Rhinolophus ferrumequinum: one gene and its partner. The protein of the gene in region 2 interacts with the protein of the main gene of each other region in a pairwise test. Links are inferred from orthologs where the notes say so. Each region holds a gene or a part of one and is shown on either strand. Other genes may lie near its edges.

Region 1 (7,467 bases), on a different chromosome or scaffold from region 2:
CCAGACTCTTGGTTTTTATTCCTTTTTCCCTGACCACAAAAGTTAACAGATAATATAAAATTCTGACATTACAGAAATAAATTGTATAGGAAGAAGCCAATGGAAACAACTCAGATGTCCATCAGTAGAAGAGTGAGTGAATGAATTGTACCAGATCCCCCTACCCACCTACTGCCATCCCTTTCTGGTTGTATATTTTAGCAGCAATACCAAACATTCAATGCTATACTTCAGACACACCTAGGGAACAGAACTCCATGTATGTGCCATGAGATGCCACTAGCAAATGTGTCACACACACCCTCAACCACAGACACCTCCCTAGGAATTATACGCTCTGTCTTCTGGGTTCCCGTGACACTTCCTATCAACAGTTCGTCAGCTTTACTTTCTGTAGTTTGTATTATACAAGCTATAGCACGGAGGTTGGGGTTTTTCTTTAACTCTAAATGGGAAATATAAACAAAATTATATAATGTTATCCACAACCTTGCTATTCAAAGTGTAGTCTGTGGGTCAGCATTGGTATCCCTTGGAGCTCATTAGAAATGCGGAATCTCAGCACTCCTCACCCCCATGGAACCAGAATCTGCATTTTAAAAAGATTCCTAGTGATTTGTGTCACACAGTAGAGTTTGAGAAGTGTGTGTTGCTCCAAAAACTAATATTGTAGATTTTGTAAAGTATATTGCAGTTTTTACATTTTGAATGTACTGTTGCAAATTATTCATGCCTTTCACATCCAGAGATTCCAAAACTGCCCAGATGTTTCCCCATCTTTTGAGAACAGTGTTTTTCAGTGAACACTGGGGAACCGTCCACATCTATATATCTCTTGATTGGAGCATTGTGCCAGCTTCCTGTATCAACTATGTATACTTCAGGCTGTAGACCACATACACTTACCTTTAAGAGCAGCTTAAGCAATAAAAACAATCATTGGATCATGTCTTAAGAAGCCTGTTGGTAGGCAGTCCCTGGATTCATCCAGCAGCTCAACTACATCAGCCAGGTCCTAGCTCTTTCTGTCTTTCTGTGCTGGCCTCTTTGGTGAGACGGTAGGCTTTTTGGCCTCAGGCTTGTGTCGCATGGTTTCATTATGATTGCCACCGCTCCATCCATCACAATCTCATCTTTAGGAAGGAGGAAAGGGGACAAAAAAAGGTTTTCTCTTCTGCTGTTATGAAGGGACAAAAACTTTTCTAACATGCCCCCTCCACAATTCATTGACCAGAAAGAACTAGGACACAGGTACGCCACTGGATCAATCACTGGCAAAAAGAAATGGTAGTGCCCATGACTGGCTTGGATTCACACCTAAACACTGGACCTTCTGGCGCGAAGGGCCATGGAGACTGGACGGAGAGTCAGGAGTGTCCGACGCACTTCCTCTCTGGACTCCACACCTCCAGTCTTGCGGCAGCCCAATTCAATCTCCTCAAGGCAGCCAGGTTGCGTTTGTAAAAATGCAAATACGCTCACATTTTGCTTCAAACTTCTCAGGCTCCACCTTCCTCACCACAGAGGAAACAGCAGGTGACCCAGGATTAAGAGAACCCAATTCCAAAACTGGATTTTACTCCTTCGTGTTGTATGACCCTGGGAAAGCCATCTAACTCCTTCCAGCCTCAGTTCCCTCATCTGACAAGAAAAGATCATAATAGCTACTTTGCAAGGGTCAATGAGGATTAAATAATAATAATAATAATAATAATAATAATAATAATAATAATAGTGGTAGCTAATACTTATATAGCACTCGCTCTGTGCCAAACCCTTTTTTAAATTCTTTAGTTCTATTAACCATTTTAATATTCCCAACAATATCATAAAACAGAGCTCTCTTATCTGCACCAGCTGAAGCTACCGGCTCAAGCGGAGCAGGGACCGGGCCCAAACACGCCAGAGAAATCCCGCACTGGGGACCGGCTGTGACCTCTGGGGAGGGGGCGGAGTTTCTCCGAGAGAGTGTGAGCAAGGGGAGGACTACAACTCCCAGAAGGCTCTGCGACACCGCTGGACTATAATAACCAGCATGCCCGGAGACTTCCTGCTTAACCTATTCCTCCTGCTAGGTATTTTGCATAGGAATTTGCTTTATTGTCGATAAATATTTTTCGCTTGCCAGAAATTCCCTATGAGTACCAAGGAATCTACGCAAGTAAATATTTATGATCATCGTGGATAAGAGGCTTGTGTTTCAATCCTCATTGTTAGCTGAAAAAGTCAGTTTTCTCATCTCTAAAATGGGGATATACCTAGGAGATGCCGCATTGAGTTGTTGTGTTGCGACGATTAAAACCTGGATGTCTTGGTAAATGCCATTTCTTCTAGTGACCCTCCTTCCTCTGTGCCCAACGGTTTTATTTTGCTGTTTATTTATGCTACCTGGGCATTTTATTTCCACAACACCCTATGAGGTTGATACTATCCTTTTTTCAGAAGGGAAAACTAATGCCAGGAGGGGTTCAAGTCTCTTGCCTGAAGTCACACAGCAAAGTGAGTGGTGGAGGATTCAAACCCAGAAAACTTCACTCTAGAGGTGAGTCCACCTTAGGAGCCCAAACGCTTCCCACCTGCTACCTGATGCTTTACAGGGACCCAAAGATCAGGGCAAATATTTTCCATTGTCTTCAAGGTAAACTGGAATGATGTGATACATGGAATGTCGAGATGCTTGCCTGTGGCCAGTGCTGGGAAGGAGACACTCTTGACACTTTGCAAATCGATTACGGCTGCATTTGATCTGGATGGCGAAATTAGGAAAAGCTTCCCTAAGAGGGCGAACATCTTCCTGCACAGAAGAGCAGGAACAGTCCAGTCAAAGGCCCTGAGGAGGGAGAGGACTTGTGTTCCAGAGGCCTTGAAAAGGGCCAGTGTAACTGGAGAGGTACAGCAAGTCTGAGGTGCAGGTAGTGAGTGCCATGGAGGGGTGAAAGTTGAGGGTATACCTTTTAGGGAGGCACAGCGTGAAAGCCTCCTTAAATTTGATTCCTTAGACTCCTCACTGGCCCCATCCTAGTCCTAGCCCTAGGTGCAGGGCCTTGTGGTAGGGTGGCCATCCGTCCTGGTTTGCCCTGAAGAGTCCTCGTTTCTGCTTGCTGCCCTGGCAAGATTATACTAGGCCCACTTTCAGTCTGACGAGTGTCCTTGTTGGAGGATCATTCTATGGCCACTCAGTTTGTAGTCTGTATTCTTATCCCAAGGTAGTGGGAAGCTACTGAAAAGTTTTCCCTGATGGGTTTTGGAGCAGACTCTGGCTGCCATGTGGAGCATGGATCATGGGGTCATGAATGAAGGCTGCTGGGGTCATCCAGTGGGAGGAGACAGGGGCAGCCTATCCTAAGGAAGAACAGTGGATGGAGTTGAGAAATGCTCAGGAAGCATGGCTGTCAGAACAAGGTGATGGCTTGGATGTGCTGAGTAAGGGCTTCCGGCTTTCTTGTTCCTCGGTACTGAAGTTCTGGTCCTTCCTCTGCCAGTGTTTAGCTGTGTGACCTTCAAGCAGTTCCTTTACCTCTCACAGCCTGTTTCCACATCCATATAAGGGCTTCTCAGACCATCTGTGGTAAAGGGGGAGTTGCTTCTTGCATTGAACATGTACCTGCAAATATATGTCTCCAGGACGTGTAAACAGTTTCCTCTACCTCCTTCACATCCTTCAGGTCTCCATTAAAATGTGACCACCTTAGGAGTCCCTCCCTGACCACCCCCTGCTGCGCCTTCCCTGGTTTACTCTCTATCCCTGGTTTACTCTCTGGTTTACTCTCTATGTTACTCTCTAACATAATCTCATAATTATGTTCTTTCCTGTTAGTTTACTTGCTCTCTGTCTCCGGCTAGAATGTACGCCCGTAGGAGGAGGGGCTTGCTTCTTCAGGGATGTATATCCATCCCCAGCACCTAGTACAGCACCTGGCCCATAGTAGATGCTTAGTTAAGTGTTTGGATGAACAAATCGATCGATGTGTAAATGAGTGAATGCTTTTCCTGCCACTCTAATGCCCCAAATTATTTAGTTGCCCGGTTACAAGCCTCCTCTGGCGCAGGAGCATCAACCCTAGAAGCAAGAAGATCAGGCCTGGGTTCAGATTCGGCCTTAGCCACTTAACAGCTGAATTTAGATAAATGGCTTAACCCGACTCAGCTTCGTTTTTCATATTAATCTCGACCTGGTAGGGATGTGGTGAGGATCCAACTAGATAGGAAAATGCTCGAAACGAAATAGGCGCTTTTTTACAATTGTCTTTTCTTCTCTTTCTCTCACAATCTCGCCTCCCAAGTCTGATCACCCCTGCCCTTCTCACCAAGCATCTCAATACCTCCTTCGCACCCAAGCCCGGAGGGACTTGCACATAGCCGGGCCCTCGCGCAAGCAAATATTTCCTCTATCTATAAAGGCAGGAAAAAAACCTTCCCCAGCATCGGATCGCGTGGTCCGCGGCAGGCGTCAGCGATGACGTCTGCGCCTGCGCGCACGCTTGCGCAGAAGGGCCCAAGGACGGGTGGGGGGTGAAGAAGGGGCCGGCCTTCGAGCGACAGCGACGCAAGATGGCAGCCACCACGGGCTCGGGTGAGCGGGGGCGCCGGGCCCTGCCGGCCGAAGGAACGCGGGCTCGGGCCGGGGGTCGGGGACCCGCAAAGGCCCTTGCAGCGGGACTAGGGCCTCTGCGCTGCCTCTGTCCGCCAGGCTCCGCGGCGGCTGCCCGGCGGGCCTGAGTGGGAGGAGGAGCAGGCGGCGGCCGGAAGCACGGGCGGGGGCCTGAGGGGCCTGTGGGCGGCGCGGCGAGGCCCAGAAGCTCCCCCGGGCGGCGTGAGGGCCCCGCAGGGAGGAAGGGACGGGCCCCGCGGCGCTGCTGAGCGGCGGGAGCGGGCGAGGGGAGCGCCCAGAGGCACTGCTGAGGAGATCGGGGCTGGCGGCTCTTTGGTGGAGATCGAGGGGTTCCGTAGAGGAGGAGGAGGCGCCTTAAGGCTTATGGAAATCCTTTTCTGCATGCTGTTCGTCCGGGTGGCGGGGGGAAGCCTTGGGATGTTCGTTTGGCGGGGACTTCAGAGAAGCCCGTCAGGATGGATGGGAGGAGGAAACGGGATCCTGAGGAATGACTGAGAGGATCCCCCATTGGCTAAGGGGACGGCTCCTGCGTTAGTTTTGGGGATGAGGTTAGCTGAGGAAATCTCTGTGTTGATTAGAAAAGGGGCGTCTTGGGTGGCTACGTTTGCGGGGAGTAAGGGCATCTCTACACAATAAGTGAGAAGGGTGAAAGGATCTCTCAGGTTCCTGAGGGTGCCGGTTGGGGCAGCCGATAGTGAAATGATGCCATCGTTACCAGCCCCTATTTGAGGACACAGATGTTAGGCTTTAGGAGGCAGGCTCCGATGGTGCAGTTGGTGGAGACTTGCGATATTGGGTGAAGAACAGGTGAATTGGGAGCCCTGGAGGTGTTTGGTGGGGGAGAGGGGAGTCAACTGAGGGAAGCCCCATGCAGTGGATGAGAGTGGGAAAAGGTCGGGTTTCAGAGAGGTTTCCTTTAAAGAAGAAAAATCTCCTTTATTGGCTGAGGGAAGCATACCCCGGAAGTGTCTGTTTTGTGGAAACTGGCACTCCCTTCCAGTCCTTTGGATATTGTTAATATGATATGTGGCTTCAGCTCAGAAGTTCCCCATTGGCTGGATGGGTGTGGGGAGAGGAACAAATGCAGTGGGAATTCTTGGGTGACTGCTGGGGGAAGGAAAGCTGAGGAAAGCCCCACTTCTCCAGGAGGGCAGGAGAGAATGAAGGAGCTACACCTTGGAGGAGGGGGCGTTCGTCCAGTCCCTAGTAGGTTGAGGGAAGCAGCACTTATTTTGAGACTGGATTCCCTGCTCTATGCTCTTAAGATGGGCCTGAGGATCAAATCCTGAAAGGTCTGTTTCAAACTTATCCTGCAGCTGGACATGAGGGGACAGACTCAGGTGGCCTTCTTGAGGAGGCAGGGGGAGGATTGGCTGGGGAAGGTCCCCCAGAGGGGCTGAAGAGGTGAGAGAGTCAGATTCTGGAAGTGCAGCATTTGGGGGTGACAGTTTCCCCCTTTGGTGACGAAGCTATACCCTGAGGCCTTTGGCAGTCAAGTTGCTCAAAAAGGCCCTCCCAGATGGGGTGATCATGGTGGAGGAAGTAACAGGGCTACTAGCCTGGGTACTGAAATCCTCTGGCTATCGAAGGCTGTTGACATAAAGTGAACAGCGTGAGAAAATCCATGTCTTTCCAGGATGTGGCTCCTCCAGTATCCCAAGGAGCCATTCTTGCCTGATAATTGGGTGGGAATAGAAGGAAATGTATGTAGGGGATCTAAAGGAAGTGACCTACCACCGCTGCCTTTTACACTGAAAGCAGCAGGATCTTCCTGGAGGATAGAGGAGACCACACATGCTTTTCCTAGACTTTGGTTTCAGTTGGAACAGTGCCGAGTCAATTCGTTTACCAAGACACTGCCATAGACACTCAGAAGAGAGAGGCTGAGTCAGGCCAGACTGCTGTGGGAAATTTCTCACCGGAGTAACACCTCTGCCAGGTTGCTATGACCTGGGGTGGGGGCGGGGTTGGGGGGACCACAATGTACCCATAGCAGCCAGCGTTACGGTAGTATTGCAACTAAGCCCTGTTGTCAGTCACTTGAGATTGGCTCCCTACCATCCGGTTTAACTGCTACTGAATTCTAACTTCCTGAGGCCCTGCCAACTGGAGTGCTTCATAAATGCAATGGTGGTCAGATAAAGCAATGTCAGCTCCTGGCTAGTGGAGTACAAGAGCACTTGGCATGGTTTAGATAACGTGGAACAGGCTTTGAGGTGCCCTAAAATGGGCTTCCCCAAACTGCTTTGTTTATTCAACAGATATTTATTGAGGGCCTGCTATGTCCCAGGGTGACTAGTGAACAAGATGGACAAAGCCCTGTCCTTGAGCTTCTAGTCAGGGAGAAGCCTGTGAAAGGAGTGATTAAGAGAATTTCAGATAGCAGTACGTGCTATGAAGGAAACTGTGATGTGATCAATGATCTGGAGAGGTAGTCAGGGACGCCTTCTCTGACATGGGGCTTTGAACTGACGGAAGGAGCCAAGCCTGTGTCACAGGCAGGAGAGGGGGAGACAGTGAATGCAAAGGCACTGGCAGGGCCAAGCTTAGCATATTGAATGAACAAAATAAAGGCCGTAGTGTGCAAGGGAGGCCGCTAAGGATGATGAGTTGGAGACAGGGCTTTGGGTTTTATTCAATGTAAGGGGAAACCATTAAGCAAATGTCTGGTATGAAGTAAGCATTCAGTAAATATTTGTTGAATGAATGAATGAATGAATGGTCTTAAAAAGAGGGGAATGACAAGATCTGGCCTGTACCCCCAGGCAGTGAAAAGAGTGTAGAGTGCTGAGAGTGGAAGCAGAAAAATCTTAATTGGGTTCAACTGAAATGAGTGTGCAGACCCCTGCTTTCTA
Region 2 (6,852 bases):
GTCAACCTCAACTCGCTGCTCAGGGTATTTATGATGTAATTGCTCTAGACTCCCTCCTCATAAGCCATGGCAAAGTATGTGCAATTGCTAAGACATCCTGCCATACCCAGATTAATGCTTTGGGGCAAGGGGAAGTCAATACAGAAACAGTACTAAGGAAGCAGCCAAAGTAGATCTCGATGGTTTATAGGATTTGTTCAGTTGATTGGGTCTGGACCCTTGAGGAGCAGTTAATACTGCAGGTTGGCCTCATCTTGCTACTTGGAATCTTGTTGATAATAGCCTTATTAAATGTTCTAGAGACAAAAAATGGATTTGATCCCAGCCTCTGGTGGTCAGATTAATCACAATGACCAACAGAGTGACACCCTCAAAGGAGTTTTCCAGAAGCCAAGAAGTGCAAAAACAAGGAGTGGATATCATCGGGAGATAATTCTTCATGGGTCTCTCATATTGTGTGTATTTTGTGAATACAGGCACTGACTACTATTGGTGGGCAGAATAATGGCTCCCCAAAGATCCTAATCCTCAGGACCTGTGACTCTGACGCTTTACATGTGAAGGACTTTGTAGATGTGATTAAGAGATGATGAGATTATCCTGGATTACTTAGGAGGGCTCAGTGTTATCACAAGGGTCCTTATAAGGGAAAGAGGGAGGCAGGAGAGTCAAGAGATATACAATTGAAGCAAAGTTGGAGTGATTTGTCCATAAACCAAGAATGTGGGCAGTCTCTAGAGGCAAGGAACAGATTCTATTTGTCCCCCAGAGCCTCCAGAAGGAACACAGCCTTTGATTTTAACCCTTTCTAAGATCCATTTTGGACTTCTGACCTCCAGACTTGTGAGGTAATAAACCTGTGGTGTTTTGAGCCACTAAATTTGTGGTTGTTAACAGCAGGAATAGGAAACTAATGTACTGCCTTTGTTTTGGACTATGTTTTCAAGGATATCTGTATAGCGAACTGTCCTTGAAGATCTCTGAGCAAAGGGCTGCAGGATTACTGCCCATTTGTAAGATCTGGGTTCCCCACGCTTGGGATTTCTCTTAATGCAAGTCACTGTATGTGCAGGTGTCACCTGGCCCTCTTTGCATCATTCTTCAGAGGTTAGGGCTTGCTGAACTGGTGCCAAAAAAAAAGAAAATAAAAAAAATAAAAAAAATGATGGTACCCTGGCTACTGCTATTACCGCAACAAAGTCTGTTTCCAACCTAGGAATTTTGTCTTCTGCCAGCATTCATGAAACTTGGCTTGTAAGTACGTAGTGGGAAAATCTCAGACCCTTCACAATGCCTGATTATAGAATAACTCAGATAAATCACACTGTCATTCTGTCTTCGCCTTTCAATTCACTTGGGAATCACGTTATATGAATTATTGGGATGAAATGGAGTGATTGAAGGCTATACGTTTTTTTCTTTTTTAAAACACCTCTCAGCTGCCTACAGGTATGTAGACTATCTCAATAGGTTGCCTTCTTAAGTACTACAGAACTCCCAACATCCTAAAGCATCTTTTCCTATAAGCATTAGTATTCTCTGGAATACGTAGATGATTTGCTTCACATAATAGATTTTGCATTTTCACCTACTTCTCTCTGATCTCAGAGAGTACTTAAAATTTCTCCATGGCTCATTTGCTTAGTCTACACAACATGATGGCAGACTCTTCACATAGGATAACCTCCTAAGGTCAGGAAACACAGTCCAAATACATATGTGTTGAATAAATTTGTTATCTGAAAAGAAATCATTAGGCTGAGAGCTTCACACAGTGAATGGTTCCTTCCTCTGAACCTATTGCGAAGCAAGTAAGTTTCAAGGTATAGCAGTATAAAGTACGCATATGATCTAGAGTTCTAAATGAAATTTCCTGTCTAGTGGAAACATGACAGCCCAATAATTCAGTTCAACAATAAATACTCTGAAGCCAGGAACTGAGTGCACTGTGTGATTAAGACTTGATCCCTGTTTTCAAAGATCTTGTCTAATAAAGGACTAGACACAATTACGTTTAATACACGGCAGAATGTGATAAGTGACACCAAAAACAGCAATAAAGCTATATGGGAATATGCGGTATTTATAGAGAATGTATGGCCTACAAAGTCTAACATACTATCTAGTCTTACTTGAAAGTTTGTTGATCCCTGATCTGGACCCCCATCTTCAAAGGTTCCTTACAAGGTAGGATTATTTCTAAAAAGTGCTTTAATGAACAAATAACTATACCATATATTCTTACAGATACAGTACTTCATAAATTGTGCAAATACTTCAGAATTTAGAAATTAATGTAGACAATTAATTACAGAACAATTTTCTTAAGTGTTGGGTTAGAGATAAATGACTGGTTGTCCAATGGTGGAATTTTCTACCTTGAGAAGTAATGATTACCTTACATCTAGACACAAATATAGTCATCCTTCAGCAGAGAGCCTTGCATATGTTATTGAACAATGCTGTCAGAAATTTAGCTGATACCAGATGATGACTATATTGCAATTTATACTTTCCCCCCCCCTTCTTCCGCCTGCCCTCACCCCTGCCCCCCATTCTGGTTCAAGCCCTATTTCTCAGTCCAGCTGTGTATTATGAGCCTTGCACTCCCTCCCTGCTGAGGCAATCAGCTGGCCACTCATGGTAGCCTACCGCAGCACATAGCAGCCCACAGCAGCCCACGCCAACCTCCTGCAGCTCATGGCAGCCCAGCTCCCGGGAGAGCCATTGTTCACAATCTTAGCTGTAGAGGGAGCAGCTTACTGGCCCATGTGAGACTTGAACCAGCCACCTCCTCCACCTGTTTGTTAGCACTTGGAGTGCAGCGCTCCAACCACCTGAGCCACCAGGCCGGCCCCAATTTATACTTTCACAACTCCTTAGGCCCAGATTCCAAAGGGACTCTGCTTTAAAGTAGTCTTCATGCAACAGTATTTTTTTCCCAGAAGAGAGTTGGATAATTTAAAAACAAATGCAGAGTGCATCTTTGCAATATTTGGGTCACGTTGGGCTGTCGGGGTTTACATTTGTGTAACACCGATTAATAAAGTTAACGTTCTGGGTTGTACATTCCTTGAAAGTCATCTTTAAAGGCAAACAATGGCATCATTTTAAATTTGGAATTTTCAAGGGGAAAATAACTTCTTATTCCTTATTTGTACCTACACTACATTGAAAATAATTATCTTTAATATTACCTAAAGTTTGAAATAGAGCAGTAACTTAATTTGGTAGAATATAAAATGGAACACTTCGGCTAAACTTCCTAGTTGGGTGGGCACTGTTTCTGTCCCAATTTATGGGATAGTGTTCCCAGAAAATTGGGGGGGTGGCGGTGCTCGCGCAGGATTGTAAGAGCGGGAGCGGAGGCCCCAGTCAACACAGGTGGCCTGATCACCTGAGCACACTGGCCTGACCCAAGGACAGGAAGCCGTGGCCATAGAGCAATGACTCGCGGGATTGCGCACAGCGGCTGGAGACGTCTACATTTTCCTTTCGTAATGAGGATTTTTCCTCCATTAACTTAACTTCCAACTTCCGCGCACTGGGCACTAAGATCAAGCATTTTAAACCTTCCAAATAGGCAAAAACTGATCGTATTAAAATAACAAAACACCTCCCCTGCATTTATTACAGACCCCCGTCCCAGTGGGATGTACGGAGGGCGCCCAGACCCGCGAGCGCGGCGGCACGGCCTTTGACAGAACCGGGTAGGGGGAACTAACTGGACCCCCACCGCGCAGCCGCGACCACAGCAGCAGCGCCCAGTGGTCGAGCCCCCTTTCTAGTATTTTCGCTAGGCGCAACGTCATTCCCGTGCGCCGTGACAGTGCCTCCCAGAACCTGCGAATTTATTTTTTGGTGAAAGGAGTGAAAAGAAATGAACTGACCTCTCCCACTACACTTTGCTTTTAGTCCTTCCCTCTGGCCGTGCCTACAATTTGGGCCATGGAGCGGGAAAGGGAACGTAAAGCAGCCGGAACTCGAAGCGGCGCCGGCTGGGCATGACTCGGTGACGCCGCCAGCCGCATTACCCGGCGTGCCCTGCGCCGCGCCGGCGGAGGGACGTTGGGGAGGGGTGGGGAGGAGGAAGCGGCGGCGGCTGCGGATGTCGCTGCGACCAAGCCGCGTCTGAACGGCGGCTGCCGAACGGCCGACCCGGGCCTGCACCGGAGCCCACACCCAGCTCCGCGGCCCGCCGCCCGCGGCCCTGCGCCTGTTGACACCAAGGCGGCGCGTCCTGTATTCTCCGTTGCCCGAGCCAGCCTGCTGTGGCGTCTCCTGGCTCCCCCTCGCTCGCCTGCACCCTCCTGAGTCACTGCCGCCGCCGCCATGGCCGAGAGTGGTGAAAGCGGTGGCCCTCCGAGCTCCCAGGACAGCGCCGCCGCGGCCGAAGGTGCCGGTTCCCCCGCGGCCGCTGCCTCCGCGGAGCCCAAGATCATGAAAGTCACCGTGAAGACCCCGAAGGAGAAGGAGGAGTTCGCTGTGCCCGAGAATAGCTCCGTCCAGCAGGTGAGGGCCGCCCTGCGCTCGGGCCGGGGTGGGGGTGGCGGCAGGACCTCCGCCCGCGGCGGGAGGAGACGGCTTTGCAAAGGCCTGGGAGGGGGTCGTCCCCGGAGGTGCTCTCGGCCATCTCCGGGCTCGTCCCAAATTAGATCACACCCAACTCCGTGGATTTGCGCCTTGGGACACCGCTGAGGTTTGTGGCGGGGCCGCGCGGCCTGTTTGTAGAACGCGCCGACGCCGCTTCCCTCCGCGCCTTCCTTTTGCTCTGGCGTCCACGGACCCCCAGCCTCCGCCCCCAGCTCCCCGCCCCCAGCCGCCTCCCCGCTGCTCAGCACAAAGGAAAAGGACTCACCGTCTGGCTCCTGGCGAGGTGAAGGCTGAGCCGGGGCGAGGGTTCACTTTAATCTAGTCGGCGGTTTTGTCTCATGAATAAAAAAACTGGGCGGGGGGTGCTCATTGTTTTACCTGCCTGTGGGTTAAGGTGGATTTTACTGTGAGGAGCACGTGTACATTTAGTTTTGCATTTTGACTGCTGATGTCTTGCCCATACTTTATATTTAGTTTTTTAAATTAACTATGACGTAGATATTGCGTACAGCCACATCGTAAGAAGTAATACTAGGCTTAAGGAGAAAGGTGGATGACTTGCAATGATGACTTGCTGTTTTTAATGTGTTTATCTTGCCTTAGATGCCAATCATTGAGTTGCTTTTTGTTTGATTTTAGAGGAACGATAGCTGCGTTATTCAGATATTATCGTAGCGGTTGCAATCGAATAAAAGAACATAGTTGGCGTTAATGGACAATGCTATCGAATAATTTATAACTTAAAATCTTCAGGAATACAAATTGTGCAGTTAATTAGAAATCTTGAAGAATTCAACAAATGGTTTTAACTTTGTTGAATACATCCCAGAAAATTTTCTGTAATTATTGATCTCTGGCGATTTCAAACATTGTGAACAGTTTATGAGGAAACAGCAGACCCTAAAATGTACCTGTTTCCCCAGGGACGGTAAATGGGGTATTGGTTTATATAGTTCCAAAAGGTGGTGTGTTTTTTGAAGCGGTAAGTAGAGCATGTAGCATCGAGTGAGAGAAACTTTTACCACCTACTGAATCACCACGTTTTTTGTCTCAATTTTCCTAGGAAATTTTTCCTTAATTTTATATTTTACAACATACAGGAAAATTGAAAGAATTAGACAACGAACACCCATATGTCTATTGCCTACAATTAGCATTTTGCTGTATTTGCTCTATCACATCATTTATTAGTCCATTTTATTTTTTGGATGAATTTCAAAGTAAGTTGTAAGTATCAATTCATGTTACCCTTAAAAAGAACTTCAGCAATGTGCACATCATTAACCTGAGTTCAATTTTTCTTTTAATTTTTTTCTTTTTAAGTTTGACTTGCAATAAAATACACATGGTTTCCATTCTGTGTATTTCCACAAAACTCCTGTGTAATCTAAAGACTCATCATGATGTAGAACTTTATAGTAGACTAGAAAGTTACGTCTTACCCAGTCAGTTCAGTCACTCTCCCCTCCATCAACCACTGTTTTCATTTTTTTCCCCATGGGTTGGTTTTGCCCACCCTAGAATTTCACATAAGTGGGATTATATAGTATGTATTGGGTAAGGCTTTTTATTCACTCAGCATATATAAGTTTTTGAGATTTATTCTTGTATATATCACTGATTCCTTTTTTGTTGCTGTGTTGTTTTCCATTGTATGAATATACAGTGGTACTTAGGTTTTCCAACATCTCCGTTGACGAACATTTCAGTTTATGAACGCCGTAAGTTTTATGGATCTATGGTATCATTAAATAGTAAAATTCATGCTGAATTTGCAGTTTTAGGGGTTGATTTTAAAGATCTGGAATGGATTAATCCATTTTGCATTACTTCCTATGGGGAAACCGAGCCTCGGTTTTTGAACATTTCAGAACTCAGAACGGTCTTCCAGAATGGATTATGTTCGAAAACCGAGGTACCACTGTACCGTAGTTTATCCATTTTGTTGAGGTTACTTTGGCTGTTTCCAGTTAGTTGCTGTGAACATTCTTGTACAAATCTTTTTTGGACAGATGCTTGTCTCATTAAATACAATGGTACCTCGGTTTTTTAACGTAATCTGTTCCAGAAGACCGTTCGAGTTCTGAAACGTTTGAAAACAGCTGACAGCTAGGCCTCAGGATCTTGCACTCAGCGGAAGCCATGTGACATGGAAGCCATGTGACATATTCCACTTCCGAGGCGTGTTTGAAAACCAAAGCATTTACTTCTGGGTTTACGGCATTCGTAAACTGAAATGTTTGTCAACAGAGAGGTTCG

The links. The genes of interacting proteins can lie anywhere in the genome.
Region 1: the proteins of UBQLN1 (region 2) and UBE2V1 interact in binary tests that used the Homo sapiens proteins (3 or more experiments, as listed by UniProt). The link is inferred for Rhinolophus ferrumequinum from reciprocal best matches to the Homo sapiens genes UBQLN1 and UBE2V1.

Annotation. Positions count from the first base shown.
Region 1 is NC_046306.1:9,444,015-9,451,481, forward strand, and holds the start of UBE2V1 (ubiquitin-conjugating enzyme E2 variant 1), read left to right. Parts: upstream 1-4,449; 5' UTR 4,450-4,551; coding exon 4,552-4,573; intron 4,574-7,467. UniProt on the Homo sapiens protein: Has no ubiquitin ligase activity on its own. The UBE2V1-UBE2N heterodimer catalyzes the synthesis of non-canonical poly-ubiquitin chains that are linked through Lys-63.
Region 2 is NC_046295.1:47,098,042-47,104,893, reverse strand, and holds the start of UBQLN1 (ubiquilin-1), read left to right. Parts: upstream 1-3,844; 5' UTR 3,845-4,332; coding exon 4,333-4,512; intron 4,513-6,852. UniProt on the Homo sapiens protein: Plays an important role in the regulation of different protein degradation mechanisms and pathways including ubiquitin-proteasome system (UPS), autophagy and endoplasmic reticulum-associated protein degradation (ERAD) pathway.